Pelodiscus sinensis: one gene and its partner. The protein of the gene in region 1 binds, or shares a complex with, the protein of each later gene. Links are inferred from orthologs where the notes say so. Each region holds a gene or a part of one and is shown on either strand. Other genes may lie near its edges. The genes, in order: ABCC9 and KCNJ8.

What was found.
Region 2: the proteins of ABCC9 (region 1) and KCNJ8 are in contact, whole or in part, in a cryo-EM structure (PDB 7MIT), measured with the Rattus norvegicus proteins. The link is inferred for Pelodiscus sinensis from reciprocal best matches to the Homo sapiens genes ABCC9 and KCNJ8. Residues at the interface, in XP_038963045.1 of Rattus norvegicus: Phe5, Ile10, Tyr13, Asn14, Ile15, Val19, Asn22, Cys24, Phe25, Ala28, Leu29, Val32, Val35, Phe36, Phe39, Phe42, Pro43, Ile44, Phe46, Ile47, Gly48, Trp49, Gly50, Ser51, Lys55, Gln57, Ile58, Asn129, Phe130, Lys132; in NP_058795.3 of Rattus norvegicus: Met1, Leu2, Lys5, Ile7, Ile8, Pro9, Glu11, Tyr12, Val13, Leu14, Ala15, Arg16, Ile17, Ala19, Glu20, Asn21, Leu22, Leu45, Ala46, His47, Lys48, Asn49, Gly54, Arg55, Phe56, Leu57, Asp59, Ile60, Thr62, Thr63.

The regions. Positions count from the first base shown.
Region 1 is NC_134711.1:118,122,153-118,137,861, forward strand, and holds the start of ABCC9 (ATP-binding cassette sub-family C member 9), read left to right. Parts: upstream 1-8,088; 5' UTR 8,089-8,255; intron 8,256-10,060; 5' UTR 10,061-10,263; coding exon 10,264-10,287; intron 10,288-15,577; exon of another isoform or gene 15,578-15,692; intron 15,693-15,709. UniProt on the Homo sapiens protein: Subunit of ATP-sensitive potassium channels (KATP). Can form cardiac and smooth muscle-type KATP channels with KCNJ11. KCNJ11 forms the channel pore while ABCC9 is required for activation and regulation.
Region 2 is NC_134711.1:118,268,007-118,282,682, forward strand, and holds the start of KCNJ8 (ATP-sensitive inward rectifier potassium channel 8), read left to right. Parts: upstream 1-7,258; 5' UTR 7,259-7,538; intron 7,539-8,628; 5' UTR 8,629-8,712; coding exon 8,713-9,077; intron 9,078-14,676. UniProt on the Homo sapiens protein: Inward rectifier potassium channels are characterized by a greater tendency to allow potassium to flow into the cell rather than out of it.

The DNA of each region.
Region 1 (15,709 bases):
TTTGGATATGAATTTTACAGACTCAATCTATCTTTAATTCCAGCTGGACTGGTAGAAAATAAATGGCTGAACACACACAACAAGTGCCCTAATCTGCTCCTGGTTCTTCTAAGACTGTTTAGGACAGTGGTCCCCAACCTTTTGAGGTTGTTGGGCGCCAGGGGGCGTGGCCGTTCGCCCTCCGGGCGCCAGGGGGTTGGGACACTTGCGCGCCTGGGGGCGCCCCCCCCATAGCCGCATTCCCGGGGGCGGCCCCCCCATAGCCATGCGCCTGGGGCCCCCCCATAGCCACGCGCCCGGGGCCAGGGCCCCCCCATAGCCGCGTGCCCGGGGCCGCCGCCGCAAGCGCCGCGCGGCCGGGGCCGGCGCTTCCCCCCCCCCCGCAAGCGCCGTGCGCCGCGCGCCCGGGGCCGACGCTCCCCGCAAGCGCTGCGCCATGTGCCCGGGGCCAGGCCAGCCCCGATCACCTGGCGGGCGCATGCAAATGCCCCCGCGGGCGCCATGGCGCCTGCGGGCACCGTGTTGGGGACCACAGGTTTAGGAGGAGGTATCAAGTAATTTATTGTAACAGACTGACGCAGCCTTGTGTGCAATCATCTCATGAACTGGCTCACATACAGAAAATAGACCAAATGTATTTACTCAATGATCTCCAGACTGATTCTTACGCAGCAGGATAGTGTTTCAAAATGTAATGAAGAGTTGGTTCCCATTTTTCTGTTCACTCCCTTAGTGATGTGATAGTGTTGTCAATCCAACCCAGAATTATACTAACGGGACAAGATATAAAACAGAAGATCGTACTGACGAAAGTTCACTTATTTTTCCTTTACATTCCTTATAACCTTTGCATTATTATGTTGCAAATGATGTCAATCTCCCTAAAGTTGTATTACTAAATCTTAGATGACTGCCAACAGTTTGCTATGGAGCACAGTACAATTCACCCTATGTATCTCCTTCCCCATTTCTATTGCATGATAGGAAGAATTATTTTCTCCTCGCTCAATGGCTATGCTTGTTTTCTACTTGCTTATATTGAACAGTATCACATTAAGATGACTTGGAATTGTACCAGCTGTTCCATCATCCCATTCTCATCCTCTCCATATCTATATGAATCCCATAAAATATGGTCTGACTGATGGGACAAGATAAGTACATTCATTGATTCCAAACCAAAAGGGACAACTGGGATCATCTAGTTTAACCTCTAATGTAACACAGGCCATAGAAGTTCCTCCAAATAATTCCTAGAGCAGATCTTTTCAACAAAACATCCAATCTTTATTTTAAAATAGCCAGTGATGGAAAATCCCAAGACTTGGTAAATTGTCCCAATGATTAGTTCCTCTCACTGTTAATAATGTATGCCTTATTTCTCATCTAAATTTGCCTATCTTCAATTTCTAGCCATTGGATTGTGTTAACCATCTCTTCTAGACAGAGCCAGCCCAGGGTACGGGCTGACTGGGCTACCGTCCGGGGCGCCCCATTATAGAGGGCGCTGCGCGGGGCTTCCAGGCTGGGCAGGGGTGGCACCGCACATGCACCGCACACCCAGGAGTGTAGCCACACATGCATCGCACTCCCGGGGGTGGCACGAATGGCTCGGGCCGGCTCTGCTTCTAGATTGAAGAGCCTATTATCAAATATTTATTTCCCATGTAGGTATTTATAAACTGCAATTAAGTCATCCCTTAACTTTAACTTTGTTAAGATAAATCGATTCAAGGAGTTCAATCCATCATTATAAAGCTTGTTTTCTAACCTTTAATAATTCATGTAGCTCTTCTCTGAACCCGCTCCAATTTATCAACATCCTTCCTAAATTGTGGACACCAGAGCTGGATGCAATATTCCATCAGCAGTCACAGCAAGGCTAAGTACAGAGATAAAATAGTCTCTCTACTACTGCTTGATATTCCACAGCATTGCAGTGGGAGCTTGTGTTCATCTGATTATCCACCTAACCCACAGATCCTTTTCAGGACCCTGCTTTGAGGAAATAGTGTCCCATTCTGTCAGCATGGCCTTTGCTCTTTAGAAAGATTTACTGTAAAGCTGTAAAGATTTACATTTAGCTATATTAAAACACTTTCTGCACAATTTACCAGATGATCCGGATCGCTCAGATGCAGTGATCTCTCTGCTTCATTGTTTACCACTTGAGATAGGGGCATCTTTTTGCTCCAGTCTCTTTTCTACACACAAACTGCTCGGGGACCTTCTTGTGATCAAACACCATATGCAATTTATTTACCCTGTTGTCCCCAGCACCTTTACAAACTTGTGCATCTCTGTTTTGACAAGCACACAGTCCTGAGCTCACTCAGCTAAGGAGGAGAGAGGCAGAAGGTTTCTTCCTTCTGAAAGATCTCCTCTGACTCTCAAAAAACCTGTCAGACAAACAAAGAATCACTAACCCTGAGCATTTCCTTCCTCCTTTTCCTACTTTGTGAGCTAATTAGTTTTGCTCTCTTCATCTCATCCTAATCTGTCACTTAGGCACAGCTTTCTCCATCAGATTTACTTCAGGGCTAATTAATTCAGGATCCAGTGATCAGAATGCTAGTACAGTTGTTGATGACCAGAACTCCATCAAACCACTCTGTGATGCTTTGAGGCTCATCCAGGCCAGTAAGAAGTTCAATTACCACCTGCTTTGCAACTGCTTAATATCAGGGAGCTTCGTACCCTCTGCATTCTTAGGGTCACATGTTCCCCAATTTTAGTGTCATCTTTAAACTGTACTTGGAATACTTGAAAGATCCATGATTTCATTGATGCAGATAGTCTTGGCACCGAAGCAAATCACAACTTTTCCATGCCATCCTGTTTTGTGTGGTTCTTGTCCATGTCCTTTCATGAATCCTCCATAAAGGATCCACCCAATGTGCTAGAGGTCTTCCTCTTGTTCTTTTTACATCTCGTGGATACAAATGGAGTATACGTGCTGTCCATCTGTTGTCTCTCAGTCTCGCTAATGGTTAGCCCATCTCCTTTTCCGATCGTACATAACATGGATGATATCATTGACACCGCTTCTTGCGTGCAAAGGTCATTGGTGTTACAGAGATGGGCTTTTGCAGTGCTGGAAAGTTTGGAATCAACAAAAACACTGCGCAGACTCCCAAAGGCAATCCAACCCGACTTCCTCCTCCTGCACACCTCTGGGCCCCACTCTTTTTCCATCTGCAATGCTTGTCCAAGATATACATATTGATCCACCATCTTGATGGACTGTCCATCCAGCTGCATGATATACTCTGAATAACATGTGATGAAGCTAGTTTATGTTTAGCTAGAAGCCATCTTGTATAACAGAAACCATTTCAGCTTTTTGTCTTTGCACGTAGGCCAGAGTGAACTTTCTATCACCCCATGCGCCAGGCCAAGACAGATGTGCTATTGGAATGTGTTAATTAGGCTGGTTCAGAGAGGAGAGGTACTCCCTCGTACCTGTCCGCCATCATGTTGATAAGGCTTTGTTTTTCCTAGTCTAATTGATTATTTCTGTAATTAGATGCCCAGACGTCAGACTGTTTGGTTAAGGGTATAAAGATACTAGGATTGATTGTATTAGGTAGCCTTACTGGACCCGGCTTTGCTGAGACCACGTTTAGCTCACTTTGCTTTTATTGGCCAATAAAACTGTCTGTTTAGCCGCGTAAACTGAGTGAGGCGTTTGCTTCGACACATGTGTTTTCATCCACTTCATTTGTCCAGTATGGATGGTCAGGCCAATCTCCTTCACATTCTTACCAATGTCATTGAGTAGGATTTGCAATGTTTCAGGTTTTAATGCAATTAGGATGATGCTACCTCCTGCCGCCCACACCCTATAGCCAGTTTTCCTTGTAAGCTGGGCACTTGAGTGGCCGTTCCGGAGAAATTCAAATGCCACCCAGCTGATTAGCAGAGCACACACAGCTAGGTTTGTGTTTTTACTGGTGGTGCACATTCCCACATATCTTGGTGCACATAAAAATATTCCACACATGAATGGAAAAAATCCTCATGTGGATGGAAACGATTAGAGGGAATATTGCCTATAGCTACTCCAGTCCTCTTTGGTGTTGCTCCTCCCAGGACTGCCCAATGGAATCCCTCCATGCTGAAAGACTTCCCATAACATGGAGGGAAAGTGTGGGTTTTATGAGGTGAAAGGGGATGGGAAAATGGTTCCCATCTCCACAGGAGATGGGATAAGAACAGAGCATCTGGACCCTAGTTTGTCAGGGAGTTTTATGACCTCAGATGGACATGGCATAGCATGGAAACCCCTTTCAGGAATGAGGAGGTTCCATGACTAATTAGTGTTGGTGGAAATTTGGTAGTGGGATTCCACTGAAGATTGAACTAATTGTCGTTGCAAATGAAGTAGAGGGTAGCAGCTCTGAGGTTTTCAGCCTGAGTGCAGATAGTCCCAGCATTGTGACTTCATGAAAAGCTCCCATTGGACCTGTTCATTTTCACATGTTAGTCAACATAGCTTAACTGACTTCAGCAAAATTATGCTGATTTACATCATCTGATGATCTGGATCATTGACTTCAATAAGACAATATCAGGCCTCTATATGGTTAACTTTGTTTTGTTAAAAAAGCAAGAAAATGGTACAAGATGGTTTGTGTGAAGAAAGATAAGACCTCAATAAAGTCTCTTAAGATCTCCTAGTTAATACTGTCTGTTTGAAGAAGAAGCCACAACTCATGGAAATACAAAACCAATGCATGACCTTTTGGACACTATGCTGTTGACGTTTAGGACTGCTGCATGCCAACAAATTTCTACATTTCCAATAAAGGAAATTCCCTTAAGTTTTAGTGGTTCAACCTTCCTTAACTTTATTCTGTAATAAAATATGACATTATTGAAATTCTAAACAAGTTGTAAAGTTACAGTCATGAGAACTGTAGAGTACAAGGTTTGGCTGTGTTCTGCCAGTTCTAATGCAAAGCTGACACGTAATCTCAATTGAATTCTTGTAATTGTTTCCATTTTTCATCATAGTCATACAGGCTGTGTGACTTTTCAGTAACAGCAGTGGGCACTTGTAGTATTATCTTATGTTGTTCATTTTATCTTCATGCCTTTAAAAACCAAAATGATACAGAATAAAATTTTAAGAAGTGCTAATGTGGTCCAGCAGACTAAATCTGAAAATAGAACTTAAGATACTAAATAATGTAGGTAAACTTGAAAATTTTCCTCGTGATTTTGTAACTACTTTTTACAGTAACTGGAACAAATTCAGCTTGGTTTTGTCTCTGAAAGGTTATATTTCCAGATAAAAGGTTAAATTAGACTAGACGGGGCTATGGACTTACTAGTGTAAAAAGACGACATTAAGATTACATGTTCCTATTCTGAATATTGTCGAAGCAGTCTAAAAGATAATATATAAATATAGCAGAGATGAAAAAAGCAATGTCAGCAATGACACAGATGCTTTAAAAGATACTCAATAGTTGCATTTGGAGTAGTTTAGATTTAATAGGATAAAAAAAGGACTGTAATGCATTCTATTGTGGATAAACATTCTTATGCTCAGAGGACATGAGTGATTTAAAAACTTTTAACTGTTCTAACATTTATAACTGGAAAAAGTTGGAATATTAAAGGAACAGCTCTCATGCTAAAAATCAAATATGTTCTTGCCTAGCACCCTTAGATTTTAAAATAAATTTAAAGAGCTAATTTATTTTTCAGAATTTATAGTTTGTTTATTGTTTATTTACATATCTATGGTCTTGGATACTGAAAAATGATTACTCAATATCACTGCTGTTTACAATGAATAGTTCTGTGGCACCTTAGAAACTTACAAAAATATATATAGTATCATGGGCTTTCATGGGTAAAACCCACTTCTTCAGATGAGTTGGAGTGGAAATAACAGAATCCAAGATATATATAGCAGCAAAAAAAGTACCTGTTACTTTTAGGACCCGTGTTAAAGAAGCTAATTAAGAGGTCTGGAGGTGTCCCATTCATAGCTTTTGATGTGAAAATGCAGATGTTAAAGGCAGGGAAAATTGGCTTTAACCACTTAATGTCTTTATGAAAGCCCAGAGTAACAGACTACATCTAGACTGCAAGTTTCTTTTGCAATAAGTTTTTCTGGAAGAGATCTTCTGGAAAAGCTTATTTCAAAAGAGAGCATCCATGCAGCAAAAGCACAATGAAAAAGCAGTGTGCTTTTTTGAAAGATAGTATCCACATTTATTGGACGCTATCTTACATTTAAGTTGTGATTAGTATGGACGGAGTGGCCACCAGGGCACCTGTGTTATTTCCTGAAGGCCTCTTCTTTATAAAGAACTCCCTCTTCCGTGTCCACGCACACCTTTTTCTGAAAAAGCTTTTTCAGAAAAAGGCTTCTTCCTCATAGAAAGAAGTTTACCGCCATCAGAAAAACCTCTCCATTCTTTCAACTTTCTGTAAAGCAGTGTGGATGAAAGTACTGTTTTTCCAGAAAAATGGCTGTTTTTTCGGAAAAACACTGCAGTGTAGACACTCCCACGGTGTCAGATTTGTAGATGAATTACCATCCTGCAGTCTCTGTAATTGTGTGGTGAAATTCCTTTGTAGAAAAATGTTTACTACACAGTTTTCTGCTGTCTTATTTGTTTTCATTAATCCTTTGTCGCAGCGACAGTCGGGTTTGGTCAATATACATGGCCGAGGGGTATTGCTTACACTTGATGGCATATATCACATTAGAGGATGTTCAGTTGAATGAGCCCCTTATGTTATAGCTTATGTGGTTAGATCCTGTGATGGTGTTGTTTGCATAGATATGTGGACAGAATTGGCAAAGGAATTTGTTGCATGGGTAGGCAACTAGAATTCATCTACAAATTTGACACTGTTACCCTGAGCTTGAATAAAGACATTAACTTGGGCTGTCCTCATTCCCAGGGCAAAAGTAAAAGGCTTTAGAACTTAGACCTATGTCCACTCTTCTGCCAGTATCTAAAGAAGTCCACAGTGGTGTATATTACTCTAGCTTCCCTCCTACTTTAACCTTCATCTCCTTCCAGCACTTGAGCATATAATTTATATCTGCATAGACACTCTTCTGTGGCCATGTCTACACAGCAGCGTTATTTCAGAATAACTGATGTTATTTCTAAATAACATAGTCTGTGTCTACACAGCAAGAGTTATTTCGACATAATGTCAAAATAATGTCTCACTGGAGTGTTTCTTATTCCAATTCCTGTAACCCTCATTGAGTAAGGGAAATTGGATGAAGAGTGCTTTAACTTGGACTTCCTGCTGTGTAGACAGTGCCAAAAATCTAAATAAGCTATTTCACCTTAAACTACGTAATTGACATAGTTCAAATTACGTAGCTTATTTTGGCTTTAGCACTGCTGTGTAGATGTGACCTTTGTGACTGGAGCTGGGAGAAGCGGTGTCAGTGAGTAAGGAGTGGAAAACTTTGCAGCAAGGGAGGTTTAAGTTGGACATTAGGAAAAACTTCCTGTCCGGGTGGTTAAACACTGGAATCCATTGCCTGGGAGTTTGTAGACTCTCCAGCTTGGAGATATTTAAGAGGAGGGTAGATGAACATCTGTCAGGGATGGTCTAGATGGCGCAAGGGAGGTGAGGGCAGGGGACTGGATTTGATAGCCTCTTGAGGTCCCTTCCAGTCCTTGTATTTATGATTCTATGAACTGAACACCATTTGGTTCACCAGCTCGGACTTTGGCCCATTAACTGGAGTCAGGGTGGGAGCTTACACCTGGGTACAGTGCACTGTTAGTCCTAGCTCGTGTTGATCACTGCTGGGGAAGTGAGGGGAATCCCGCCAAATTCCACTCCCTTTGGGGGATGCCACAGCGAGTGCGATACGGCTCTGCTCTGTGCGCTCCAACCCGGGAGCAGCTCCTTTAGCTGCCCTCCGGACTGCTGCCCCGTGTCGCCCTGCAGGAGGGAGGGGAGCTGGCTGGGGGCCCGGGGCTGGGGCACAAACGGACTGTAGCATTGCTCATTACAATTAAAAGGGGAGGGGGGGTCTGCGCGTCTCACCCGCCCCCTTGGCTCCTCGCTGCCCCCAGCAGCAGCGCAGCAGCAGCAGCAGCAGCATTCCGCTCGCTTTGCTGGGTCTGTCTCTTCCCCGCTGCTGCTCCCTGGGCTGCTCCTTACCGACTCCCTGGCAGACTGCAGTAGTAAATACCTGGCCTCCCAAAGATTAATCCCCAGGAGCCAGACGCCTGGCAACACTCCCACCTTACCTCCGGGTAAGTCCCTTCCGCTGGGGGAAAGGGTGGCCAGAGAGGGGCGACTCCGATTGGGTGTGCTTGGAGATCAGGGAATCTGCCCACAAGAGATGGGAAAATGGCAGCTTTTTTTTTTCTTCTTCTTCAGAACAGTATTACATAAGGCAGTTTTACCATGCCTGCCCCTAAAAATAGCCCATTCCTCTAGGCGGCTGGGTGGTACTGTTTTCTGAGCCCAGCTCCCTCCCCCATCCTAAATTCCACACGTGGGACAGGATTGGAAACACACGTGTTTTAAAATGCCCCACAGATAAGAAAAGAGCTCAGATCATTCCCCCTGCCTGAATGATGTGCCTCCGTGTGGGAGAGTGTTCTGATACAGAGCTTATTACGGTGGTACATTCAGGCATGGGGGTGGGAGAGCCTTGAATTGAAGTCCAGAGCATGTTTCTGTAGATTGCTGTGTATGATAATAACACAACAATTCCAGCACTGCTTTGAAACCAGCCCCCCATCCCTGAGTATAAAACAAGTAGCACAGGCTTTGACAGTGCCTCAGAGCAGAACAATTTACCAGAGCTGGACAGGAAATGGCTTTCCCATCCCACAACACTTTGAGATAGCAAAATATTTTCCCATCCCAAACCGGGACAAAAAGTTAAATGTTGGAAATTTTCACACCTGGAAAAAAAAATTAGGAACAGAATGTGGGTCGGGTCAAGCAAAATATTTTGTTTCAACAAATTGGAAATGTTTCTTTGCCATCCTGACTGTTAAAAAATTCCCCCCTAATAATGAGTTTACATTTCAAAACAAACCATTTCATATTAGAAAGCTGTAATTTTTTAAAATTTAAAAATGCCAAATCAAAATATTTTGACCATTTTGGAACTTTTTTCAAAGTTTTTTCAAGTTGCAAATTTTGGTAAAATTGACGCGTCCCATCTAAATTGAAAATGTTTTCCATCTAAGTTGAGAACAAGTGTAACCACACCTATTGCACCAAAATATCTCCGACCATAATGAATGCTGGCAGCACTGCAAGATCCTGGATCTTGCATCAAGATTCAGGTGGCTCTTTCTAAAATTTGGCTCCAAACACTACAGTCTAAATAGAAAATAAAGGTAGTTGCTTTTGCTTTGATGAAAAAGTCTGAACCCTGATGCATCCCACTTGATAACATTGGGGGAAAAATACATATCTGGTAGCTGGATACTGCTATTTTAAACATCTATATTCTCATTTTACTGTCTAAATAGAAAACAAATATTCCTGGTACAAAATAATCCAGATACTGTAGTAAATGGGCACAGCTGCACCACAAAAACCTATTCCTGGTACTTGTACAGGTAGTTTTTCTTTTTTTGTCCCAAATCTAAAAATTCTACCCATTTTTTATAGAGGGACTAGATTTACTCTGTATTTTAATAATCTTACTTGGGAGCTCTAAACCAAAATGTGGTAGTATCCGAGTAGATCCAGTTTTTCCCATATCTTTATGATGATGTTCTAAATTGTAGTCTCACATGCGGAGCTATATTCTTTACTAAGAAAAGATTACATTTAATCATATTGCCTAATACTGTTTTCCAAAGCTGCATCACGCATGCCCTTTTGACATTTGGCCATCTAGGGGTATATTGATTATTTTAGAATAATCACCTGATGATCATCTGTGCAGTATCTTGCAACCCCTTTGTATCTTAGCACTTTAGCCCTGGAAAATGAAAATAAAAACACTTCAAGATTGTTTTTTTTTAAGCTCCTGGGATTGGAGCTTACGGGGTCTAAAATTGGTGTCTTTTGCTTGCTTGTCTCTTCTCAGTTTCCTGCCCTCTGGAGTGTGTGAGAAAGATGAGAAAAAGTTTGCTCACTTTGGAAACTCGATAGGAGGCAGCAGCTGATCTTCCCATCACCAGCCTAAAAATAATCCACTCTAGGGTTTGGAGCTGCTTCACAAAGTGGAGGAGAATCCTGCCATCGGAATGATATTGATCACGTAGCACAACCAACGAAAAACTGGGTTTGATGTTTGTTAGTGTATATATAAAGGTAAGTGACAGCGTGTGATCTAACATTCAGCAAAGAAAATGGGCATGCAGCAACATCCCCCACTATTTTCTCCCACTAACCTCTTTCTTCCCCTAATGTCTGTGGAGAAAGACTCTTGCGTTTTCTTTAGGATTACAGGGCAAATCTGTTTAACTTTTCCTTCTCAAACCAATATACTTGGACTTAAATGTTCCCAGCTGCTGATGTTTCTTTATTTTTCATAGGGTTATGATTCTTTTTAAATGAGTTTTACAATTGTCCCATCCTAGTGTCTGAAGTCTAAATGTCAACTTGTTTCACAGCAGACGGCATACCGTGCTAGCATTTGAGACTACAAGTTGTTTATTAAGAAGCTTCTAAAAAAAGAAGAAAGCAGGAGTCAAGACAATTCTATCTGAGAAACAGCTGCAAATATTAATACTTTGACAGTTTTATGTTTAACTCAGTTTCAGCTATAATCCTATATTTTCCTGTACATTCATTAATATATTAATAAATGTATTTTCTGTGCATGTGGGGCCTGATCCAAAACCCCTTGAATCTTTCCATTTACTTTGAATCAGGCTCTTGGTATAAATTGCTAAGTGCTTTGAAAACAGTAAAGTAGGTAGAGTAATTAATTTATCACATCAGGGCCCAACAGCATCTAGATAGTCGATATCTAGCTAGCAAATATATTTAAATTAATTGCACCTGGTTGAAATAATAATTAGAAAAATATAATATATTGGATAATTTTTGGTAAAATAAATAAACGATAAGAACTTTACTTGTAGTCTCAGCAGAACTGATAACAGACAACGGAAATTCTGAATAGCTCAGATTATGTTACGCAGAGTTAGGCAGCATTGGGGGGAAAGTATTTCAAACAAAACAAAGTTTATGTTAGGAAAGGAAAAGGATTTTGTGAAATATTGAGCTCTCTGCACATTGATCCTATGTACACTGAAATCAATGGGAAAACTCAAGATCAGGTTGACAGTTACACCCATGAAAACCAATTGATTTAAAGATTTGCTTTTCTTTGTTAGAAATCACTGTAGACTTTTCTTCTGCTATTCCATCACCTTCATATTGAGAAAGCTCATAAATACAATCTAAGTTCTCCCTTTTTATAATGAATCAGCTCGCTAGCAGAATCAAATATTGAGTTACTTTCATAAACATCTGCCTGTTTAATCTACTCATCTGGCATGCATAATAAAAAAAAAGAAAATGTACATCACATGCAAGGAAGAAAACAGGTTAAAACAAACTGAAAAAAGCAATTAATTCCCTGTGATATCATAGAATCATAGAATCATAGAATAATAGGACTGGAAGGGACCTCGAAAGGTCATCGAGTCCAGCCCCCCGCCCTCAAGGCAGGACCAAGCTCCGTCTACACCATCCCTGACAGATGTCTATCTAACCTGTTCTTAAATATCTCCAGAGAGGGAGATTCCACCACCTCCCTTGGCAATTTATTCCAATATTTGACCACCCTGACAGTTAGGAATTTTTTCCTAATGTCTAATCTAAACCTCCCCTGCTGCACTTTAAGCCCATTACTCCTTGTCCTGTCCTCAGTAACCAAGAGGAACAAATTTTCTCCTTCCTCCTTGTGACACCCTTTTAGATATTTGAAAACCGCTATCATGTCCCCCCTTAATATTCTTTTTTCCAAACTAAACAAGCCCAGTTCATGAAGCCTGGCTTCATAGGTCATGTTCTCTAAACCTTTAATCATTCTTGTCGCTCTTCTCTGTACCCTTTCCAATTTCTCCACATCTTTCTTGAAATGTGGCGCCCAGAACTGGACACAGTACTCCAGCTGAGGCCTAACTAGTGCAGAGTAGAGTGGCAGAATGACTTCACGAGTTTTGCTTACAACACCTGTTGATACAACCTAGAATCATATTTGCTTTTTTTGCAACAGCATCACACTGTTGACTCATATTCAACTTGTGGTCCACTATGACCCCTAGATCCCTTTCCGCCATGCTCCTTCCTAGACAGTCGCTTCCCATCTTGTATGTATGGAACTGATTGTTCCTTCCTAAGTGGAGCACTTTGCATTTCTCTTTATTAAACCTCATCCTGTTTACCTCTGACCATTTCTCTAACTTGCTAAGGTCATTTTGAATTATGTCCCTATCCTCCAAAGAAGTTGCAACCCCACCCAGTTTGGTATCATCTGCAAACTTAATAAGCGTACTCTCTATCCCAATATCTACATCATTGATGAAGATATTGAACAGTACGGGTCCCAAAACAGACCCTTGAGGAACTCCACTTGTTATCCCTTTCCAGCAGGATTTAGCACCGTTAACAACAACTCTCTGACTACGGTTATCCAGCCAATTATGCACCCACCTTATCGTGGCCCTATCTAAGTTATATTTGCCTAGTTTATCAATAAGAATATAATGCGAGACTGTATCAAATGCCTTACTAAAGTCTAGGTATATGACATCCACCGCTTCTCCCTTATCCACAAGGCTCGTTATCCTATCAAAGAAAGCTATCAGATTAGTTTGGCATGACTTGTTCTTCACAAACCCATGCTGGCTATTCCCTATCACTTTATTACCTTCCAAGTGTTTGCATATGATTTCCTTAATTACCTGCTCCATTATCTTCCCTGGGACAGACATTAAACTGACGGGTCTGTAGTTTCCTGGGTTGTTCTTATTCCCCTTTTTATAGATGGGCACAATATTTGCCCTTATGTTTTGATCCTGGCATGAAAACATATTGGCTATTTTGTTAAAGATCAAAAGAAATATACATTTTGGCTATGTCTACACTGCAGACTTATGCCTGCAGAGTATGCTAACGAAGCACTCATTAGTATTTGTTTTTCTGTCACTTGCATATTCTTTGCTCGAGGCTTTTTGCGCAAGAGGTTTTTGCACAAAAACAAGCAGCGTAGATGGGGCTGTTTTGCGCAAAAAACCCCTTTTGTGCAAGATCCTTATGCCTCAAAAAAGGAGGTATACAGATCTTGTACAAAAGGGATTTTTTGCACAAAACAGACCCATCTACACTGTTTGCTTTTGCGCAAAACTTCATGCACAGAAAGCCTCAGGCAGAGAATATGCAAATGACAGCGTGACAAATGCTAATAAGTGCTTCATTAGCATACTCTCTGCCGGCAAAAGCCTGCAGTGTAGACGTAGCCTTTGACATAGAAGTTCAAAGGATTCATGCTCCAAGGGACAAGGAGCACTTTAGACCCACATTTTACACCCTTTTCTTAATAGTTACAAGAACATAAGAACAGCCGTACTGGGTCAGACCAAAGGTCCATCTAGCCCAGTATCCTGTCTACCGACAGTGGCCAGCACCAGGTGCCCCAGAGAGGGTGGACCGAAGACAATGATCAAGCGATTTGTCTCCTGCCATCCCTCTCCAGCCTCTGACAGACAGAGGCCAAAGATACCATTTTATCCCCTGGCTAATAGCCTTTTATGGACCTAACCTCCATGAAATTATCTAGCTTCTCTTTAAACTCTATTATAGTCCTAGCCTTCACAGCCTCCTCTGGCAAGGAGTTCCACAGGTTGACTACACGCTGTGTGAAGAAGAACTTTCTTTTATTAGTAAAATAACCAGTTTGCAAGTGCCTTGCAGTTTAAAAAGAACAGATCCAGTTAAAGTAAGACTTGTGAGTATGGAGAACTATATTCAACATTTATGTGCCACTTTAAAAGAAATGCCCCCCTTTAAAAAGTTTTAGATTCAATAAAATATTGTATAAAGTGATGTCCATTTAGAACTCCCAGGACATTTGCACTCATCTTGGTTTGATTTGTGGAGATTCAAATATTAACCACCATTTCTTCAATGTCACCTTCACAATACCTTATGAAAAGGGTATCTAATTGTCTGAGGGACAGAGTCACAACGAGGCCTCTCCCCTGAATCCAGACTGAGATGATGGGGTGAGCAACCATAAAAGAAGGCGCTGGACTGGGAGAGAACTAATCCCGAGATGAAGACATAAAGAGGTGCCAGGGTGGTTACTGAGCCTATGGTAGGTCTTGAGAATCAATATTCAATGATTCTTCAATGGAGCCTGTTTTCAGAGTCACAAAATTTATTCCTTGGTACGTTACAACGTTTAGGATAAGAGTGACATGTTCATTAGTATGTCTTTGTAATGAACTGACTTTTCTTCCCCGTCAATCTTCTTCTCATCTATGTCAGCCACTTAATTCTGAATCACATTTGTAGGAATTTCTGTTAACTACAATACTCTCAAGTTTTGTTCCTCCATCCAAAAGCAGAGGCCCCTCTTGCCAGCTAGTAGGACTTTTACAACTAATTCTCAAATGTTTAGATTGAAGGTTTATTTTTAGACATTGCATGGTCTCTCTGCCTTCCAGCTAACTTTCATCAAAGTAAACCAGTAAGCCCTCTGATTTCAGAATGAGTGAAAGGAGAGCCAAAAGCATACTGTGCTTGAAACCAGTTTGGGCTCACTGTTTTCATGCTGTCAACCTCCATCCTCCATCCCTCCAACCTCATTTCCTGTTGTCTTTTAAAGTATTCAACAAATAGTTGATTGCTTCAGTCTGAGCCCTTGACTAAGACAGGGACAAAAAACAGAACCAACTTGCAAAGATGATTGGTGTGATTTGGCTTGCTGTCAGAAATACGAACAATAAGGACGCATAGTGAGAGGCAAGGGGCCATATTCTTCCTTCCTTGGGTAAAACATAGCATGGAGATAGGGAGTCCAGAAAACTCCATAAGGAGACTCAGGGTATGTCTACACTTGCAGCCTATTTCAGAATAAGGCTGCAAATGTAGGCATTCGGAATTGCAAATCAAGCCCGGGATTTAAATATCCCGCGCTTGATTTGCATCTTCCCAGCCGGGCACCATTTTTTGAAATTTACAAGCCTGGAATAACTGCCCACGTCTACACGCGGCAGTGAAACGGGCGTTCAAAATAAAGCCCTAGTTTGAACTACCTGTTATTCCTCCTGCAATGAGATTTAACATGGTCTCTGTCTGGACTCAGGAGGCTGCCTCTTTGCCACTCTGCTCTCCTGTCAGGTCACTATCTGTAGTGCTAGCAAGCCTTCTGATCGACTTCCAAGCTAGTGCCACTTTCTGACTAGCTGGTAGGGGAACCTGACACCACCGATTATTCCAGGTTTCAGTTCAGCAACAGTCTGTTCAAGCTTTCACTCTGGTGATATTACCTGGGGCTCTGACTTCACTTCTCTATCTCCTGGCCTACCTTTGGGTGCACCACTGGAGCTTCCTCTGCTCCCTGTAGTTACTTCTCTTCTCTCAGCTTCTTTCCAGAGTCTGTAGTCCAGCTTGGAGCCAGTGGGCAGCGCAGCCACAGCCTATCCTGGCTGATCCTGGAGATTTGGAAAGCCAGCAGGCAGGCCTGGCTTTAGTACAAGGTGAGCAAGGTGCTTGA
Region 2 (14,676 bases), about 150 kb from region 1:
TGTACAGGATCTTCAAAGCTTCCTAGCTCAATCAAACAAATCGTATCCAGCACAAAGGCATTTCTCTTACGGAAGGCTATTTTCTTGCCAGGTTCCAGCTTTCAAATTCCAACTGTTTCAATTGTAGAGTTGTTCATATAAAGGTGGCAAGAAGTGTTGAGTAATGAGAAAAGCAATTTCCCAATTATCTTCTCATTTGACAATGTCTGAATTCCTTTTGCTTAAACTTCAACTAAAATTCCTGTTTGGACATGGAAAAGTTCAGCATGAAAGATGAAAATTTCAGAAAGCTGTGACTGAAAACAAGGTGTCAAAATGGAAACTTTGTGATTTTTATGCACAGCAGTTGCTGTTGCTTCTGCTAGATTAATTAGAAGGTCATAAACACTCTAGACATAGAGTTCAATTCCTAGTCCCACCTTGGTAAATTTGCAGCATTTCCAGCAGTACAGAGGGGGCCAGCCCTGCACCCAGAAAAACACCACAAGAGCTTCCCAAGCAATATAGAATGACCAGAGTGGCTCTGTAGACATTCTACAGTAGTCAGAGAGTTTGGTGTGTATGGGAGTGAGTGTGTGTATTATTTATCTGGCATACTGTTGATTCGCCTATATTCTTGGCTGCAAAGTAGACTCTTAGGCTATGTCTACACTGCATAGTTATTTCGGAATAAGCTATTCTGGAATAGTTACTCCAAAATAGCTTATTTTAAAATAGAACAGCTACACTGCAAGGGAGCCTCAAAATTAGTCTGAAGCGGGCTTCCTTAATGTAGACGTGCTATCTCCATTTAGAGCCCCAGGAGGAATAACTTAGCCCCTCACCAGGGCCATTCTATTTCGAAACAGCTGAAGTGGAGCGTCTACACATGCCTTATTTTGAAATAGCTATTTCAGAATAGGCATTAGTCTTCATAGAATGAGGTTTACAGAAGTCAAAATAAGCCGTCCATTATTTTGAAATTATTTTGAAATAACGGAATTGCTGTGTGGACACTCGCATAGGTATTTCCGAATAATAGCCATTCCGAAATAACTTTGCTATGTAGACACACCCTTAGGGCGCTCTGTACTATACTGGAGCTGAACTTTCTCCAAAAAAAGTAGCATAAATTGCCTTAAAGAACCCACAATCCTTCCCCAAGTATTTAACTCAGCAGAGCTGAGCTGCACCTTGAATTTGGCCCATAATCTCTGAATATGAGACGCTGTGGGAGCATCAATAACACTAGCATTACAAATGACTTTCCAAATGCTCTCGAATGCCCATGTTTCAGAGCCAAAGCTGATCCTTCGGTGGAGTTAGGTAGGATTTTCCCCTTTGTGGTGCTATATTGCATTAAAGACCCAGGTATATTTGCTATTTACCAAAGAAACAGGGGAAGCCAGACAGAGAACTAGAGCATTTTCTCTTAAAACAAGGAGTTCCAACTACTTATGGGCTGTGTCTACATTGGCACCCCTTTCCGGAAAAGGGATGCTAATGAGACCAGTCGGAATTGCAAATGCTGCGGGGGATTTAAATATCCCCCGCGGCATTTGCATGAACATGGCTGCCGGTTTTCCAGCTCGGGGTTTTGCCGGAGAAAAGCGCCAGTCTAGATGGAATTTTGCGGAAAATAAGCCCTTTCAAATAGGAATAAGGGATCTTCCGGAAAAGGGCTTATTTTCCGCAAGATCCCGTCTAGACTGGCGCTTTTCTCCGGCAAAACCCCGAGCCAGAAAAAAGCGGCAGCCATGTTCATGCAAATGCCGCGAGGGATATTTAAATCCTCCGCGGCATTTGCAATTCCGACTGGTCTCATTAGCATCCCTTTTCCGGAAAAGGGTGCCAATGTAGACACAGCCATGGTGTGCCAGTCAGAATACTTTGTACTCTGGGGAAGATTTCTGGAGTATTGGATTTCTCTTCATATTCAATGCCAAGACCACTGAGTGGCTGCGTCTAGATTGGCATGATTTTCCGGAAATGCTTTTAATGGAAAAGTTTTCCGTTAAAAGCATTTTCGGAACAGAGCATCTAGATTGGCACGGATGCTTTTCCGCAAAAGCACTTTTTGCGGAAAAGCGTCCGTGCCAATCTAGACGCGCTTTTCCGCAAAAAAGCCCCGATCGCCATTTTAGCAATTGGGGCTTTTTTGCCCAAAACAGTACTGTGCTGTCTACACTGGCCCTCTTGCGTAAATGATTTGCGCAAGAGGGCTTTTGCCCGAATGGGAGCAGCATAGTATTTCTGCAAGAACACTGACAATCTTACATGAGATCGTCAGTGCTCTTGCGGAAATTCAAGCGGCCAGTGTAGACAGCTGGCAAGTTTTTCCGGAAAAGCGGCTGATTTTCCGGAAAAACTGGCCAGTCTAGACACAGCCAGTGGGTATGTGTGCACACCCACACCCACATGCTATACATATATATGTATGCGTATGTATATATATTCCACAAAACCCTCTATTGAAAGCCAATGGCATAAGACAACTGTAAAAGGCAGAGACGGCTGGAGTAAGAAACTCTGCCTACATATAAAGAGCATGACACAGCACTGCATAGCTTGCATAAGTCTCAAACTCTGTGATCATTTTAATGAGGAACAATCTTCAAGTTGCCAAAACACAGCAGTCCATTTACACACTTGCTTTGGCAGCTTACATTGGCTCGAATGAAGGGCCTTGATACTAGTCACATGATTTTAATGATAAGAGCTATTTTTATCCTCCTGCTGCTGCTGCTGAATAAGACAGAAGGAAGCTCGTGCAGGATAACTGAGGCACATAGTTTTCAGTTTCTGTTCTTGCATGTGTGATGAATCTACTGCCCGTTCCGTTAAGACTTCATGGTACCAGAATATGGTTTTTTATTAGCAGGGTGTCTTCACACAAGACTCAGACTGCACACATGATATCAGTGAAAGCCTGCAAAGTAAGTGTACTGTGGAGTGCATTTCCCAAGCAGTTTCCCACAAGACCAGTTTGATTTTCTGTACTGCTATACGGGGTGGCACCCATACAGTGTGGCAAGAACGGCAGGGCTGTGTCTACACTGGGCCACTTATTCCGGAAAATCAGCCGCTTTTCCGGAATAAGCTGCGAGCTGTCTACACTGGCCCTTGAATTTCCGGAAAAGCAACGATGCTCTACTGTACAAAATCAGCCGCTATTCCGGAAAAACTATTCTGCTCCCACTCAGGCATAAGTCCTTATTCTGGAACACTGTTCCGGAAAAGGGCCAGTGGAGACAGCCCAGTAGTCTTTTCCAGAAAAAAGCCCCGATCGCGAAAATGGCGATCGGGGCTCTTTTCCGGAAAAGCGTGTCTACTTTGGCCACAGACGCTTTTCCGGAAAAAGGGCTTTTCCAGAAAAGCAGCCTTCCAGGCTACGTCTAGACTGGCCACATAAGACGGAATAGGCATGCAAAGCAGGCAAGTCAGAATAGGGAAATCCGCGGGAGATTTAAATATCCCCCCGCGGGATTTAAATAAACATGGCCGCCGCTTTTTTTCCGGCTTGGGGAAAAGCTGGAAAACAGCGTCTAGACTGGCGCGATCCTCCAGAATAAAGCCAGAATAAAGTTTACTTGCAAGTAGGAATAAGAGATCCTCCAGAAAAGGGCTTTATTCTGGAGGATCGCGCCAGTCTAGACGCTCTTTTCCGGCTTTTCCCCAAGCCGGAAAAAAAGCGGCGGCCATGTTTATTTAAATCCCGCGGGGGGATATTTAAATCCCCCGCGGATTTCCCTATTCTGACTTGCCTGCTTTGCATGCCTATTCCGTTTTATGTGGCCAGTCTAGACGTAGCCCCAATGTAGATGCTCCTTTTCCGGAAAAACTGAAAACGGAATAGTATTCCGTTTTAAGCATTTCCGGAAATTCATGCCAGTGTAGACACAGCCCAGCTGTCTTTTGTGGGAACACTTGTATGCATTTTAATAAGGGTGCACTCCAATTCAGGATTAGGAACAAAGGATCAGCAAAACTGGATCAGATCCAAGGTCCACTTACTTCAGTATCTTGATGCAGATGAATGCTAGTGCCAGATGCTTCAGAGGAAGGTGTAAACCCTCTACATATTCCCAGATTAGTTCTCATCCTGATTTCTAATAATTTGAGATTCTCCAAAAGCATGAAGTATAATCTCCCTTCCACAAAATTCTTATAATTGATTGTGGTAACTCTGTTTCCACAGAGTTGAAGAGCAGGGGGAGGGGAAGATATTCCACATTTGAACTAATCCTATTATAAAACTGCTATGAATGATGCTGAGATTTGTAATTCTAACTGGGCATCTAACATGAAGCACTGGAATGAGATTAGATTAGGGCTGTTTGTTATAAAGACCTGATCTGAGGGAAAAGAAGGGAGCATAACAGTGCGAGAGCTGTAAATGGGGCAACTTGTATTCTTAGAAAATGGCAAGTAATGTCACTGATCTACTATGAGTAGATCATACTCTCAGTACTATCTCTCACTGATATAAATATATATCTCTTTGCATGTCATTCCCCACATGCCGTCTATCAGTATTTCAGAAATAATCTTGCCGATAATCACACACTGGGAAATCATACACTAATCCTGAGACATGTACAGTGCTATCCTTCAGTTATAAGAGATTTTTTCTTGTAACTTTCATATAGTTACGTCTGGGGAAGGGAAGAATGCCCCCCCCCCCATGCCTTCCTTCCCCCCAATCTGCTGCAAGCATTTTATGGAATCTTTTAAAAATTACCAGCTAGTTTAAAATACATTGTTTAACTCATGAGCTAATAGCATCGATTACGCAGCAGTGAGGTTCAGAGCTGTCCAGCTCAGGGCTCTTTCCAAAGAGCATACTAAAGAAGCACCCCTCCAAACTGCTAGCACCAGCTTCACCTATCTCTCTTGTTGTTGGGGTCTCAAAGCCCTATACTGCACACTATGGCCTTGCTTCTGCACACATTAAATCACACACACGAGTAGCTTTCTGCATTTGAACACTTCGTAGCAACTCATGTGCCTGTAGTGAGCCTCTAAAATTAAATAACCAGGATGAATAACAATTTACTAAACCTTACCGAAACCTCAGTTAGAAGCATTCTACTAGCCCCATAAGAACATAAAAACAGCCATACTGGGTCAGACCAAAGATTCATCTAGCCCAATATTATGTGTTCATGTAATAGAGTTTGCTCCTAAAGGCTCTCCCCCTCCCAGCTAGCTGTCTGTGGAATTAATTCAGACTCTGCTTATGGAGGCAATATAATATTCCCATTCTACAGAAAGGGATCTGAGAAGTTAAGTGACTTGCCTCCGTCTTATAATGACTCAGTGGTAGAACTGAGATTAGAACTCTGAAGAACTTGGTTTCCAGTAGCCTCTGCTCCTGCAAAAATTACTATATATGCTTAATTTTAAGTAGCTGAGTAGTACCAACTGGGTTTATTTATCCGCTTAAAGTTAAGCATGTGCATAAGTTTTTGCCGATTTTGGGGCATCACACACACACACACACACACACACACACACACAGAGTTGCAAGCACTATGGGCACAAAGGAGTTTATCAGGCAAAATGCAGAGTAGTGCAGAGCACACTTTGCTTCCTTAAAATCTAAATTTAGATACTTCATGAAGCTGATGTTCTGTTTATTCTTTCTATGTGTAGGTGTGGGGGAGGGGATGTCAAATTTCCTTGAAAGAAAGCTTCCATTAAACATGAGAATCTGAGAAACTGCCACAATTATGGCTTTTAACTTGAAGGGAGAGAATCTTGTTTATTTCATTGTTTGCTTTAAGTATTCCTGTCCATGAATACTTTCTCCTACGCCCATCTCCTACCACTCAGTACCTGCTGCACCAGCTAACTGTGAGAACAGGCCCATTCAGCACCAATTCAAATTAATGGGAGTTCTGGAGCTGTAAAAAGGTCTTCTATTGCAGTAGCAAAATAATGAAGTCAGTGGCGTAGAGGCAGCAGAAACCTTGACAGATTTTGGCCTTGCTCCTGCAAACACTTATTCACAGGTTTAATTGTACACGTCAGTTATCTCATCAAACTCAGTAGCAGATTTTGCAGTAGGGAGAAGAAAGTAGTACCTCAGTTTACCACCACCCCCTGCCCAGCCAGCTTGAAACATATTTCACAGTTATGCTGCCATCAGGTAGTGAGGCTGTGGGCAAGTCTAAAACTCTTTTGAGAAGAAAGGAAATGAGCGCCTCTGCTAACGAGCCTGATCTTTCAAATGAGCCCTAGTTCTGCAAAGCTCAAAAAAAGTCTCCAATCCTCTTCAGCAGGCTTTGGATCAAGCCTGAAATATACTCATGTGTAATTCAATAATTTGGTTATATTTTAAGTGCTTTGCCACAGAAATAAAAACACTTGATCAGGGCTTCCAAAAAGTGAGACATTATTAAAACTGAAACATAATCAATATTAATGAGACTATACAAATATAGGATTGACAAAGGGGTTTGTATTTTTCAGTTTTTTGGTTGCTAAGCTAGGTTCAACAGAAATCTTTCTATTCGATAAGGAAGACAACAACACTATTCATCTAAAATCTAATTTAAATAATTCTATTTCATTCTTAATGTTTAAAATGATTTGCCAGAGATGTTAAAGCTCTCTTAGTCAACTTTTTCATTCTAGGTTTAAAAGATTTGGTGCCAAAGTAACCTACGGTCTGTAAATAGAATTTCAGGTATGATTAGAATTGAAATAGGACTGAAAGTGAACAATCCATTACATTTCTATCACTATTCTACATGTCAGGTATGATTAGGGCACTTAAAAAGTGAAGTCCCATTGACTTTCAATAGAAACTGAAGGCTCTCTAGCGTTCTTGGGGCAACTTTTTCAACTTGATCTAGAGCAGTGCAACTTTTCACGGTATTTTGACTCCTTGGTGGCCTCTGCAAATGGGACTGAGGCTGACCAGGTTATCGTCTTCTTATATGAAGAGCATTTAGGGGCAATCCCTATAGTCTTTACACTGGCAAATCTCCCTCTTGGGTAGCATGCTTTGACTGCATAGGGACTGTGGGATCAGGGCCCTGTTACCTACTGACCTTTACACTTGGAGAAGGAAATCCCCCCCCCCCCCACCACCACCACCACCCCCTGTGCGCCTGTAGAGGCTTGGGCTCCAGAACAGCCCCCTGTTCTGCCCCTTTGGGGTGGGGGGGAACCAAAGTTGGGGGCTGTTTGCAAGTGTTTGGAGCGTGGGAGAGGGGCTGTGATCTGCCCCCCTTGCTCTGCCCTGCCCCACACACCGCTCCAGCACCCTCCCCTTTACTCCCGCACTTCCGCCGTCACAAATCACAGCTCCTTGCGCCAGCGCAGGGGCAGTCGAGCATCACTGGGGAAACCGCCTGGCGGGGGCGGGCAGGGAGCGAGAGATCCGCTTCTGGAGCTTGTCCTGCGCTGCAGCACCGAGCCGGCACCGGCCTGTCCCCGGCGGCCGGACTGCAGGGCTACTGCCGCCGCCGTCCCGGTGCGGGGTCCGGCTGGGATGCGGCCAGGCAGCGCCCGGCGCGGGACCTAGCGCGCCCGTCCTGCTCCGGCGTCTGGTAAGTGCCAGCTTCTCTTCTGGGGCCCCGCGCTGCCCCTGCGAGCCCGCCTCGCCGCCCCTCCCCGGCACAGAGCCGCCCAGGTGCCCGCGGGCGCCGCTCTCCCGTGCCAATGAAAGGGCCCGCTCCAAAAAAGGGGGCAGTGGGACTCGCAGTCTGCGGGGGCTAGAAAGTGCGGGGAGAGGGTGCGGCGGGGGGGATGTTGTGGTTGCTGTGAATTTGCACATGTATTAAGCAGGGCATGGTATTCATCAGGAACATCAGAGCAAAAACCAAACAAAAAAGAACTGGAGTTTTGCTTTCCCCTGTCCAACCAGCCTGTCTGCCTCTTTCTTTCTTTCTTTCTTTCTTTCTTTCTTTCTTTCTTTCTTTCTTTCTTTCTTTCACGCATATTTCCTGCAGAATAAAACACTTGTTTTATTTTTCATTGTTATGATTTGGAAGGAGACAAGACGGCTAAATCCCTCCTTTTAAAGTAACTTGCTCCCTAGCACAACCGGTGGTTAATACTTTCCCAGCGAGGGGATGTAGTACGTTCCCACACGTCTCTGTTTTAATGTGAAATACATGATGGGTTGGAACTACACTGTGCAAGCCCTTCTTATTCATGTTAGTGAGTAGCATACCAGTTGTCTTACAGGCTCCAGTAGAGCTATTTAGAAAGGCTCAGGCAGCCCTTGTTAAACAAAATTCTGCAAATTGGTAAGCATGCAAGTAAGACTGACTTGCCTGAGTACTCCCATTCCATGGAGTAATCACTTACATGCAGTTGCTTGCATGGTTAAGTATCTCAGTAGGATCTGGAACATTGTTTACTTTGGTCCACAGCTATCAGGCGTTTCAGTGGCTTTGCTCTCTAGCAATGTCTAAGATAAATCACTTATAATTTGTTTTAGGATTTGGCCCTAACTGCTTTTTAACAATCACAGTCTAAAATGAGCATATAATAGCACTGTAGAATACTATTTCAGTGACATGTAACTCAACAGCTGTTCCCACGGGGGCCATCTACTTTGCATGCCTATCCCTTTATTGTCTGGGAAAAATGGAAAAGAGATGGCAAACAAGATCTTATTTTTCCTTTCCTCAGAATGTAGGAGGACAGACAAGGGACAAAAGGGAGACCAGTGGAAAAGCACTTGTGTCCTGCTAGGTGGACTATGGTGGCAGGAAGATGTTGGCAAGGAAGAGTATTATCCCTGAAGAATATGTGCTGGCACGGATTGCGGCTGAGAACCTTCGCAAGCCACGCATCCGGGACCAGCCCCGCAAAGCTCGTTTCATCGCCAAGAGCGGGGCGTGCAATTTGGCACACAAGAACATCCGGGAGCAGGGGCGCTTCTTGCAAGACATCTTCACCACCTTGGTGGACCTGAAGTGGCGCCACACGCTGGTGATCTTTACCATGTCCTTCCTGTGCAGCTGGTTGCTCTTTGCCATGATATGGTGGCTGGTGGCTTTTGCCCATGGTGACATGAATGGTAGCACAGAAAACTGTATAGGCAGTACTGACTGGACACCATGCGTGACATGTGTCAGGTAAAGTACAATAGGAGGTATACGGAATAGCAATGATGTAAAACTTGGCTTTGGTTTACTTGAATTGTACTGTACTGCATAGACAACTGAGAAGTTTAATGTTCTCCACTAGGTTCCACCAAATTCTACAGTTCCATCCTCCTTTGCCCCCCCACCACCATCCCCCAAAACCCCACCTCAGAATTCTTTGATGCTTTATAGGATCGCCACAATCTGACAGTACAAAGACCCTGCAATTTTTCATAAGTCTCTACAGTCTGTTGATAACTTTCCATGCCAGTAAAGATAGAGCCTGCTTCAACAAAGTAGCCCGTAGGTGAGTGTTGTAGATGGTTTAGTTCTGTCTACATCAATTGGCACCATCTTGAACATGAAATTAATTTCACACCATGATACAACAAGAAGGCTGTGTCTAGACTACATGCCTCTGTCGGCAGAGGCATGTAGATTAGACACATAGGCAAAGTCAAATGAAGCCGCGATTTAAATGATCGCGGCCTCATTTAAATTTACATGGCTGCCGCGCTGAGCCGACAAACAGCTGATCAGCTGTTTGTCCGCTCAGCGCGCTAGTCTGGACGCTCCCCTGCCGACATCAAAGCCCTTTGTCGGCAGCCCCGTTATTCCTCGTGGGATGAGGTTTACCAGGGCTGCCGACAAAGGGCTTTGATGTTGGCAGGGGGGCGTCCAGACTAGCGCGCTGAGCGGACAAACAGCCGATCAGCTGTTTGTCGGCTCAGCGCAGCAGCCATGTAAATTTAAATGAAGCCGCGATCATTTAAATCATGGCTTCATTTGACTTTACCAAACAAACAAATCTACATGGCTCCGTCGACGGTGCCATGTAGTTTAGACGTACCCGAAATGGCTTAGCTCAAGACCTATGTTTTAGCTTCGGAAAATCAGTCCAAACGTCCAGAGATAACCACTGAATTTGCTGGCTTGTCCAACTTAAGAGGCTTGATTTCCAGAAAATGGAAAGCATCTGGATATTAGGCTCTTTTAGATGTCTTTAGTTGGGAAGCCAAAACATGGAAGTACCCAAAATCATTTATCTGAATCTTTATTAGTGACTATTATTTCAATTATAGGACAAGTGCTGTGACATTCTGCATCAGTGTTTATCTCAGACAACAAGAACTGCTGTGTAAAAAACTAGCTCGGTATTATGATAAGGGCCACAGGTTTGGGTTATTTTCCTTTTACTACCCACACTTTCCAGAACACCAGCCAAATGACTGATCAGGAGGGAATTCCATATATACACAGTATGTTTGCAGACTCCAAAGAGTAAACATTAATAGGAGGGATGGGTAAGCAATGAGACCATTCTGTCATATGTGCAATGAGATCCTTGTTTATAGGACTCACTCTTGGACCAAAAACTGTCTGATTCACCACTGCTCTGTCGTTTGCACCAGTGCAAGGCAGTTGAACTATGCTACTGAATCAGAATGATTGCATTTTGCACACACTTTGCACTGCTATAGGGACCACAAAAGGGGCAGGTAGTGTAGAATTAAACTCATAATATCTGAACATCCAGTTTTATCTCCCGCTCTGTCTTGGTGATGCAAATGCCATAGCTGCATGTACAAAATGCCAAGAGGTGGTCTTTCTGGCCTACGAAGAGCCAGGTTCTCCACCCCTTCTCTTGTTTTATGCTGCTTTCCTAAGTGGAAGTGTTGCCCATGCAAGTTGGACTAAATTAATTGATTTTTTATTTATTTTTTAGGAACTGGCTGCAAGCCAGAGTTTCTGAAACAAGCAATTAGGGCTGAGAGTGCCTCTGCATCAGGCTCCTTTTTTATGGCATCTCCATTGTATTCCTCAAGGAATGGCAGGCCACAAACCTGCTCCTCTCAGGAGAGCTGCTCCGTTGGTTACTGAGCTTTCCGTATTTGGTCTGTGAGGCCTCGCCTTGCCTTTCAGCTTCAAAGCAGCAGCACAGCTCTAATGGACGCCTCTCCTATGAGACTTTCTTGCTGGCTGCTACCCCAAGATATCCCCTTCCCAGAGGACATTCCATGGCATGGAATGCACATGCACTAAAGTTCACACTGACTCAGTATTCGGTTTTTGTGAGGACTACGCACGATACTCAGCCTGACGCCAGCTGCGGGGAAGGAGGAGCGGGGGGGAGGGTTACAGAGCACAACAGCATTAAGCCAGGCCTCATGCTGCCAGACATGTCCCCAGTAGTCCCTTACACTGGGAGAATGATTAACTGTCTGCTTCAAGCAGTTTTATGGCCACTTTCTGCTGCCGACATGGTGCAAAAGGAGTGTGTCCACTCCAAGATTCTGGCCTGCTCTCTATTCCATCCACTGGCATTACCCTGGTAAGCCACCACCTAATCCTGGCAGCTACAAAACCCTATTGAAACAGCTCTGGTAAGGTCACTACATTTTACTGCAAGGGAATTGTGAAGGTTTATTATAACTCCCAGAAGTGAATGAAGGATTAGCATATCTTTTTGCTTCAGCATATGACAAAGAACACATGTCATTTGGTATCAGTAGCTGTGGTGTTTCAGGCCAAAAGGCAGACAACCATCTGTCTTCTAGTCATGAAAAGTAATTGACAGTAAATGATTCCGATCTATTAAAACTGGCTACCTGTTCCAAGAAAGGTATGGAACAAAAATACTGTCACTAATTTTTTAAGAATAGAGAAAAGCTGATTACCTGATCTTGAAATAAATGGAGACACCTATCTCCTAGAACTGGAAGGAACCTTGAAAGGTCATTGAGTCCAGACCCTGCCTTCACAGCAGAACCAAATACCATTCCTAACAGATTTTGTCCTATATTCCTAAATGGCCTGCTCAAGGATTGAACTCACAGTCCTAGGTTTAACAGGCCAATGCTCAAACCACTGAGCTATCCCTCCCCTGAAAGGAATGTTTGATCTAAAAGGAATATTTGATATTTTCACTTTATATACAGGCAGTCCCCGAGTTACGTGGATCCGACTTATGTCGGATCCGCAGTTACGAACGGGACTTTTCTCGCCCCGGAGGACGGGAGCGGCGGGACGCCCAGATGAGCCGTGGTCCTGCCGCCTGTGTTCTCTGGGGCGAGAAAAGCTGCTCCCCGTCTCCTTGGTCTGCTGGTCAGACCAGGGAGAAGCGGAGCAAAGCTGCGGAGGACGCCCGCAGCAGGACAGCTGCGGAGCTCCTGGGCTGTCCCGCTGTGGGCGTCCTCCGTGGCTTTGCTCTGCGTCTCCCTGGTCTGACCAGCAGACCAGGTAGACGGGGAGCAAAGCCTCGGAGGCTGCCTGCAGCGGAACAGCCACGGCACGCATGGACTGTCCTGCTGCGGGCGTCCTCCGTGGCTTTGCTCCGCGTCTCCCTGGTCTGCTGGGGGGCGGGGGCGCAGCTAGTGCCCCCTCCCCCCCAGCAGACCAGGCTTTTCTGCCCACGACGCCTGGGGTAGAGCAGCTGGGGCGCTGCTGGGTTGGTCCCGCAGCGCCGCTCCTCGGCGCTACTGGAGCAACCCAGCAGCACCCCAGCTGCTCTGCCCCAGGTGTCCCCAAGTCAGCCGCTGCTGAAACTGACCAGCGAGTAAGCCCAAGGCAGAGTTGCTCTGCCCCCGGCTTCCTGGAATCAGCCGCTAATCAGTTTCAGCAGCAGCTGACTTGGGGACGCCTGGGGTTCTTAAGTTGAATCTGTATGTAAGTCAGAACTGGCATCCAGATTCAGCCGCAGTTGAAACTGATCAGTTACAGCAGCGGCTGAATCTGGACGCCAGTTCCGACTTACATACAGATTCAACTTAAGAACAAACCTACAGTCCCTATCTTGTACATAACCCGGGGACTGCCTGTAGTAATAATAATTAATAGCCAACATTTTCATATTGGTGTGCCTAAAGTGTGGCTCTTAAACCCATATTAGACGTCTAACTAAAAGCTTTCTATGTAACTACAATGTGGTGTTGAGAGACACCTGGATTTGAAAATTGTAATCAACACTTAGGGTGTGTCTACACAGCAAAGTTATTTCAGAATAACAGCAGTTATTCCAAAATAACTATGCAAGCATCTACACAGCAATTCCATTATTTTGAAATAATTTCAAAATAACAGATGGCTTATTCCGACTTCTGTAAACCTCATTCTACGAAGAATAATACCTATTCCGAAATAGCTCTTTTGCTATTTCAAAATAGCCCCTCATCAGGACCATTCTAAGTTATTCCTTCTGGGGCTCTAAATCGAGATAGCATGTCTGCATTAGGGAAACCTGCCTCAGACTAAGTTTGAGATTTCCCTGCAGTGTAGATGTTCTATTTTGAATTAAGCTATTTTGGAATAACTATTGTGCAGTGTAGACGTAGACTTAGAGCATATAGGTTTTCAAAGTGCTGCATAACAATTAACCACACCACTCTGTGGTAGATAAATATTGTAATCCTACCCATTTTCCAGACAGGAAAATTGTTGCCAAAACTGAAATGGGATCAGTGACAGACTTGGGATTATTACAATGAGGAGTTCCCTGGCTTTTACTTCTGTGTTCAGATACTAAGCTTGCTAAACCACAGTTTCTTCAAGGACTGAGTTTACACCATACAAATGTGGATTCTTTTAAAAATGAATAATTTTTAAAGGAAATTGGAATATCAGAAGTTACAGCCATACACTTTACTCTGCATGCATCTGAATATTCATCACCATATTAACCCTTTCACTAATTCCATTAAATGCGACATTAACTCCTTCATACCTGAATTCTTTAAAATGAAATGCCCAAAAAACCAAAACAAAACTCACAAAAACACACCACTTTGGTGGTGGCTTCAAAGAATGAAAAGTTTTAAAAAGCCCCTGGTTTTAAAAACACTCATCAAATTTTTATTAGCGCCTGTGAGAATTCAGCAGCCTCATTTCTGGAAGTCACCTTCTTTAAGGTGAGTTTTCTCTTTCCACAGGAAAAATCTCCCTGATTTTGCATGTGCTATAAAACATCTTAGATTCTCTCCATGACTTTTGGTCCTCTAGTATTTCAAAGGACTCTTCTCACTTATCCTGAAGACATAGTCAAAAGTTAGTTAAAAGTTGATCAAGTTTTGTTCTTCCAATCCAAACCTGAAACAAAGGATGGTTCAGCTCTACCTTTGAGGAAAGGCTAGATATATTTCATTAACATAGACCTGTTATGTACGTAGATGTTACATCTGGGTGAACTGTAATATATGAAAGGGGTTGTTGCCATATTAATTCTTATGCATCAATATCACATTCCATGTGTGGCATGTCCAATAAGTCGTTCATATGCTACTTACATAGCATTCACATATAAATTGCAAACCTAGAACCATATTTAAATTGTGCAGCTGGCCTTTATTTTGACAGTGAACTGAGCTGCCCCCAACCTTTGGGACATGAATGGAATGAGCGTAACGGCCCACTGATTTACTCTCACTCGTGAACAGCATCATTGCTGCAGGAGCCATGTTTCTAGGGGTTTCCCCTAGTATGACTGTCCCCAAAGTCCACTTTGGGGGTTAAAGGTCAGAGGGAAAAGTAGTGCAAGTTAACTCAGGCTATACTAACTGCACAGCTTCCCCTCTCTGCTTTGGAGACAGGGAGAATC